Linked DNA regions of Saccharomyces cerevisiae S288C. The protein of the gene in region 1 purifies or fractionates together with the protein of each later gene. This does not show direct contact. Each region holds a gene or a part of one and is shown on either strand. Other genes may lie near its edges. The genes, in order: ACO2 and NFU1.

Evidence for each region.
Region 2: the proteins of ACO2 (region 1) and NFU1 purify together in Saccharomyces cerevisiae (affinity purification with mass spectrometry; 3 studies listed by BioGRID, with this or other methods). This does not show direct contact.

What each region holds. Positions count from the first base shown.
Region 1 is NC_001142.9:55,792-60,624, forward strand, and holds ACO2 (aconitate hydratase ACO2), read right to left. Parts: upstream 3,023-4,833; coding exon 653-3,022; downstream 1-652. Other genes in the region: ECM25 (Ecm25p), read left to right, coding at 1-387; MBB1 (Mbb1p), read right to left, coding at 4,065-4,391. UniProt on the Saccharomyces cerevisiae protein: Catalyzes the reversible dehydration of (R)-homocitrate to cis-homoaconitate, a step in the alpha-aminoadipate pathway for lysine biosynthesis.
Region 2 is NC_001143.9:360,558-363,696, reverse strand, and holds NFU1 (Nfu1p), read left to right. Parts: upstream 1-1,868; coding exon 1,869-2,639; downstream 2,640-3,139. Other genes in the region: PTM1 (Ptm1p), read right to left, coding at 1-1,075; ESCRT-III subunit protein VPS24, read right to left, coding at 2,880-3,139. UniProt on the Saccharomyces cerevisiae protein: Involved in iron homeostasis within the mitochondrion where it is involved in the assembly of iron-sulfur proteins.

The DNA.
Region 1 (4,833 bases):
ACAGATACATTATCCTCACCGACGAAGACTCCATCAGCAGACTCGCTTCCATTGAGTAACAGCAGCACCGATTTAACGATATCAGATAATATCAAAGAAATGGTTAAGGACGAGCCAGCAAAGGATAAAAATTCTGTGGAAACAGATATATTCGTACAACAGTTTGAAAGTTTAACCCTCGTCCAAAACGCGAAGATTAAGAAGTTCGACAAAGAACTACAAGAAAAGAAGAAGAAAAATGAAACTACTTCAAAGACAGCAGATAAATTCTCTCAAAAGGGATATTCAGATATTAAAGCAAGCAACAAGGTTAGCAGGCTAGCTGCATTGTACGAAGAACGTTTACAAGGTTTACAAGTAATGAATGAAATGAAACAAAGGTGGTAACTTACATAATTGTATCTTTTTAACACATACATATTGCATATACGACAACAAAATACCCCCCACCCTTGAGTTAAGCCGTAGTTGAAGCAGTCGAGATCTCGTGTATAATATTATATATCAAACAATATTACGTTTTTTATAGTAAATAAATAAATAAATAGGTAGGTTATTTGCACCGTCTATATGCAGAGTCTATAGAATTGTGTAAACTAGCTTATGACTATTAAATCGGACTCTTAATTTTTAGCTAATATCTCTTCAGAATTTATTCGTTTCTTCGTATATTACCAATATAATTGATTGCTGAACCAGCTTTGAAAAAATCGATTTGATCTTTAGACATAGTATGTTTTGCCTTGATGGTGAACGATTCACCGTTTGGTTTAGTAATTTTAACATCAATTTCACCACCGTTATTACCATCCTTAGCAATCATGTCAACTAGGTTCAACGTTTCTAAAACATCTCCGCTTGATATTTTATCATAGTCAGATTCGTTGGCAAAAGTCAATGGCAACACACCTTGTTTCTTCAAGTTTGTCTCATGAATTCTTGCAAAAGACTTAACTAAAAGAATCTCTCCGCCTAAAAATCTTGGTGACAAAGCAGCATGCTCTCTTGCGGAACCTTCACCATAGTTATGTTCCGCTATCACGGTCCATGGTCTACCGTCTGATTTCCATTTCATCATCAAACCAGGAATATCATATTCAGTTCCGTCAAGGTCATAAGCCTTGTTGACTTCACCGGTTTCTTTGTTTTGTGCACCAATCAATGTATTGTAAGAAATGTTTTCTAGATGGCCTTTATATTTCAACCAGACGCCCGCAGCGGAAATATGATCTGTTGTACATTTACCTTCAACTTTCAAAAGCACGTTTGTCTTCAATTCCTTCCCGTTCCAAGGTTTGAATGGCTCTAATAATTGCAAACGATCAGAATTAGGGTCTACCTTAATCTCTACATTGCTATCTGGCTTTGGATCCATTTCAGGATAAAATTTGTCTCTACCGTGTTCAAATCCTCTTTTTGGTAACTCATCACCCTTTGGTGGTTGGAATTTGAAATCCTTCCCATTTGGCAATTTAATTGAGTCAGTTAGCGGATTGAACTGAGCATCTCCAGAATAACTCATCGCTGTTACTATTTCTGGGGATGTTAAGAAATTCATTGTATTCCTATTACCATCGTTTCTAGCTCTGAAATTTCTATTGAATGATGTAAAAATAGTGTTCGTTTCTTTTGATGTTTTCGAGACATCTTCCCTATTCCATTGTCCGATACAAGGGCCGCATGCATTTGCTAAAACTTTGGCACCATTTTCTTGGAAAATATCGATGATTCCATCTCTTTCCAAGGTAGCTCTAATTTGTTCTGAACCAGGGGTGACAAAGAAGGGGATACGTGGTTTCAAGCCGGCTTTGGAAGCTTGCTTGACCAAGTCGACAACACGACTCATGTCTTGATAAGATGAATTGGTACATGATCCAATCAAACCAGCGCTAACTTTTTGGGGCCAGTTTTCCTTCAAACTTTTTTCGGCATATTGAGATATTGGGGTTGAAAGGTCTGGTGTAAATGGACCATTAACGTGAGGTTCAATTGCGGATAAGTCAATTTCAATAACTTTATCGTATTGAGCATCTTTGTCGGCTCTTAAGAAGTTAAACTTGTTTAAAGCAACATCAGCTGCTTCAGCGACCTCTGCTCTATTAGTTGCTTGCAAATAACGCTTGTGAGCTTCTTGGTAAGGGAAAGTTGACGTTGTAGCACCGATTTCAGCTCCCATATTACAGATGGTTGCCATACCTGTGCAAGATAGAGTGGATACACCTTCGCCGAAGTACTCGACGATATAACCAGTACCACCTCTGACAGTTAGTAAACCAGCGAGCTTTGTGATTACATCTTTAGGAGTGGACCATCCGTTTAACTTTCCGGTCAATTTAACACCTAAAATTTTTGGTGCTTTTAATTCCCATGGAGTGCCTGTGAGGGCATCAACTGCATCCGCACCACCAACCCCGATGGCAATAGCTCCCAGACCGCCTGCATTTGGTGTATGGGAATCAGTACCTAGCATCATTAGACCTGGAGCTGAGAAATTTTCCAAAACAATCTGGTGAATGATACCAGAACCTGGGCCCCAGAATTGAATTCCATATCTCTTTGCGCAACTCTCCAAGAAATCGAAAACTTCTTGGTTGGTAGCTATGGAAGAGGGTAAATCTTTAGTTTCACCGTCCTTACCTACAATTAAATGATCACAATGTATGGATGCTGGGACAGATGTTTGATTTAGACCGGTGGTCATGAATTGTAGAAGCGCCATTTGGGCAGAAGCGTCCTGCATAGCTACACGGTCTGGGTTTAGCTTCAAGTATTTATTACCACGGATGGTGGACAGATCAGAAGAAGTAATCGATTCTTCAGGATCGCAAAGATGCGAGTATAAAATTTTTTCTGCTAGTGTCAATGGAGCATTGTTTGTTATTTGTTTAATCTTGTCTAGGTTGGTCAAAAGTTTTGCATAAGGTGGCACTTTTGTTTGAAAATTTTTAGATACAGAGGGGAACATATTGGCATGTGTTGCCAAATGCCTCTTTATATAAAACCTATTAGCTGAAGATAGCATCGAATCTCTTGCTTATTGCTCTTAGAGTTTTATGTTTAAAGAAAGTCGAAAATTCTTATTTTTGCAAGTGCGCAAATCGAATAATACGAAAAGATGAAAATATTTTAGTTTATATACATGTTTGATGCCATACCATCTATTGACATAATCTACGATGTGAGAGCTGTATGATATTGTGGAACTTTGTATATATTGAAAAAATTTTCCAGTGGAATTTTACTCGCGATGACTCAAGAGCGTGAAAAAAAAAAAAAAAAAAAAATTAATTGCTAAAAAATCAAATATATGCTTCCAATCGGATTTGAACCGATGATCTCCACATTACTAGTGTGGCGCCTTACCAACTTGGCCATAGAAGCTTCTATTTTATATTTGCCTGACCTATTTTAACGGTTATATTCCACAAACATTTTAATCATGAAGCAATTTTTTTGATGTTGATGTGAGAGTAATAAGCACTGTGCTGAGAAGAGGATCAACAACATGATATTCTACGGAACGTAAAGGATACAATGTTATTGGACTAAGAATCGTCTATCATCTTAAGAAATGGGTGGATGATCGGACAATTATTGAGAAGGTTTCATTGTGGAGAACAAATCGCAATATTGTGCAATCCTTTAGATATGTCAAGATAAAATACTAGGGAGGCTTCGCCCATTCATTAAAGAGTATAGCTACCGCATACTGTTTAGTAGTATACTATCACATGTGGTGTAAAAAGATAACATAAAGATTGAGAATCAGTCATCAAATGTAATGGAAGCTGAAAATGCAAGGATTGATAGTGTAATAGGAACGAAACATATGAAAACGGAATGAGGAATAGTCGTATTATTAGTATGTATAGATTCCATTTGAGAATTCTTATATCCTCGAGGGGAACTTCTAGTATATTCTGTATACATAATATTGTAGCCTCTATCAACAACGGAATCCCAACAATTATCTCAAAACTCACTTATATCTCACAAAACACTCAATAGCGACCCTTAAATGTTACTGAACCTCATATTGTTTCGCTCTGCTCCCTTATATATTGTTAATGCAATCGGGACAGCTCACTGACTGAACGGTGAATAGTGGCTCCCGGAAAGCTGAGAGTTGTGAACTCGCCACCTCTGTTAAGTAAGTCGTAAGCTGTTAAAGCTGCGTCACGAGTAATGAGCTGCCAGTTCGGCCTCTGATCGCTGTACTTTATGGTAAAAAGATAGTTCCTAGTAGAAGACGAGTCATACTCGTAAACAAGCACCGCTGGATACTCTTCTCTATCAAGACGTAAAGCGTACTTGTAATCTCTAAGTTCGCCAATCCAAATTTCTGATATGCCACTCATTATCCTCACCCCACATGCTGACACCTTATACATTCAATATCTCCCTTCTCCTACTTAACCTTATGTTACCCTTTTTTTTTGGCTTGCATTTATATTTGGTTTACATAGCAACAACCGATAGCGGGTAACAGCATTAAGCTTCCCATCTCCCGTTCACTGTTATTACCTTTGGCACGTAAAGGGCCGGCTAATAATGTCGTATTTCCACTGATTTGGATGTATGTTGCATGGTGCTAGATTGTGAATAAATCATTTCCACTGGTTTCTAGCAGAGGTAAGAAAATCAGTAGTAGCGGCAGCAGCCAAGAAAAATGGCAGCCTGGCAAGCAGCGAAGGCCATCTGTGCTGCATTTCCACACTCCTTGTATGACTGCATACGCATAAAGAGGTGCCTTGCTGTAGGCGTATATGATCCTAAGCAACAGAGAAACCACGGTTCTCTTCTCTTCTTATTTCGTTATTGTCTTCCCTTTTT
Region 2 (3,139 bases), on another chromosome or scaffold:
TTGTCATGGATCTAATAATCATGTAGTAAAATATGATTAATGCAAGCGCCATAGGAATCAAGGTGATCAAGATTAGTGGAGATGGTGCCTCCATGTCGGTCAAATAACTTTGGATCAAAAATCCAATGCAAATTGCATAAGTTAACGCACCATACATTTGGCAACGCCTCATCAACGTTTTATTCAACTTAGGGTACACGATACCGTAGCCCAAAGCGATAATCAATAATAGGAAAAATGAAAATGTAACTTTACCAGCCGTCAATATCGACAAGAACACCATATAAACTTTTATTCCCGCAGTATCACCTTTTTCATTTTTCAAATCATAGTAAGCCCATACAAATATGGTTTCTGCGGTTAAAAATACAAAAAAGGCCAGCAAATACTTTTGTAATGGTAACAATTCATGCTTGTGCTTCCAGAAGGCGAAGGAATATAACGCCATCGCCACAACGTATGCGACCGCCAAAAGACCATATAGTGGCAATTTGTTGATCTCGGTGCCCGCAAGCTGACCATAAGCATTCCTGAAATTCACCACAGCGTTGAACTTGGTAGACGTCGATGATCTGAACGCAGTAACACAATAAAATCCGGTTTCTTTTATTGGGTATCTAGTATCATGAAGGCCGACCTCATTTTGAGAAAACGTCATGATTGGATTGGCCAAAGATCTATTTGTGGAAGTATATGGATCATATACAACATCTTGAACAATAAACTCATCACGATTCTCCTCTTCACAAATCCCGATATCAATTGCATAATCATCACAAATATAATACATTTCTTCATCCGGCAATTGCACACCTAAGTGCTCAAAGTCTTGGAAATCATAGATTGCAACGACTAAGCCTGGATCAGACTCATCACTCAATCCACTTATTTTTTTAAGATTGAATGATATAAACGGGTCTATTTTGCCCTTCCAATCTTCTTTGGAATACATACCTGCGCATACTTGATAATTCTTTTGACTTATCTTTTCCTTGTTAGCTTTTACGAACACTAGAAGGTAGCATAAGAAGCAGGTGAATAATTGGAAAGGTCGGCAAAACTGATATACTCTCATTGTGCCCTTACACTCTTAGTTTCTGTAAATTTACTGCCTTTTTACCAGCTGTTTCTTGAAATTACCGAGAAAATATTCTATTTCAATTTTTAACCTGCAAAACCTGAACAGAATAGTTGATCCTCTTGACTATTAGTTTGAGGCTAAGTTTTTTTTTCCACTCTCCCTATTCCTACTCCTATATATATCTTGCTCTATCTTTTTCTTCAAGTTCGTTTTTTCACACACTATTTAAAAGACCAAGCTTATGTGTGACGTGCACGGGTGCAATATCTAAATCGGGCAAAACAACTAAGCAGTAATTAAAGTACCACACTCTAGCCGAAAAGAGGTATACATGAAGGTTGAAGATTCGGAAGCAATTCCCAAATTATGTTCAACATTACGGATATTACAATGTTCAATGCGCATAATACACCATAGAAGAAAATTGGCACTACGTATATACTGTCCATTGTTCTTTTAAACACAAAATTGAAACGTCTGCGGTCTCTTGAGGATAAAACAATGTACATTGAGTATAGTAACATGCTAAGCGTTAGCTTGTATCATCAAGACCGTCAAAGCAGGCATTTCATCAAATCTATAGGACCACTTAGCGGAGTCCTGGTGATTGTAGAAATAGCCTTCTAACGTATCAAGTGATAAATAATTTAAGTTTTCCGAATTTCAGTGATCTACTTACAATATTGCTTATTAATCATTATAAAAAGAAGCGTATTTAGCGGACTAATTAGAATACATAAGGCATTCTCAGCGTAATCTAAGCAAAAAAGCAAGAAATTGACTAACAATGTTCAAATCAGTGGCTAAATTGGGGAAGTCTCCGATTTTTTACTTAAATTCTCAGAGATTAATTCATATTAAGACTTTAACAACTCCAAATGAAAATGCTTTAAAATTTCTCTCCACAGATGGCGAGATGCTACAGACGCGTGGCTCCAAGAGTATAGTTATTAAGAACACTGATGAAAACCTCATCAACCATTCCAAGTTAGCACAGCAAATTTTTTTGCAGTGTCCAGGAGTGGAGTCTTTAATGATAGGTGATGATTTTCTCACTATTAATAAAGACAGAATGGTCCATTGGAATAGTATCAAGCCTGAAATTATAGATTTGTTAACCAAGCAACTTGCTTACGGTGAAGATGTTATATCCAAAGAATTCCATGCTGTCCAAGAAGAAGAAGGAGAAGGTGGCTACAAAATAAATATGCCCAAATTTGAACTTACCGAAGAAGATGAAGAGGTCAGCGAATTGATTGAAGAGCTGATAGATACAAGAATAAGACCAGCCATCTTGGAGGACGGCGGTGATATCGATTACCGTGGGTGGGATCCAAAGACTGGAACCGTTTATTTAAGATTACAAGGTGCATGTACCTCATGCTCTTCTAGTGAAGTGACTTTGAAGTACGGTATTGAGTCCATGTTGAAGCACTATGTGGATGAAGTGAAAGAAGTGATTCAGATCATGGATCCTGAGCAAGAAATAGCATTAAAGGAATTTGATAAGCTTGAAAAAAAGTTGGAATCGAGTAAAAATACAAGCCATGAAAAGTAAATATTCCGTCCTTCAAATGAAAATACAAGATGAGACGAAAATAAAAGGAAGTGTGTATATACTGTCTTTACCCTCACTATTACTTGATAGTCCGTACATGTTTCAACGGTCATCATGGAAAAAGGGTAAAGCACTCAACTTTTTCCATACACTAAAAACGGGTGCCCTTTTTACTGTGTTATTCGTACCATTATTTATTCACTTATTTATTTATTTTCTTTGTACAGTCACAGTAACACTCTAGTTTTGCAAAGCTCTCAGCCTTTCACGCATTTCATTTACCATCCTATCTGCTTCCTCATCAACTTTTTCATCCGGAATTTCTTGCTCTTCTTCATTGGCTGCTAATTCTACGGTTGGCACTTGGTCAACATTCTTGAATTTCTCGTTTGTGTATTGTTCAACTATCTTATTAACTTCTTCATCAACAGCTTCGTCCATCTCTTCCCCTACGTCCCCAACACTCTCCATGGTATCATCCACCATTTCACTTATAATCC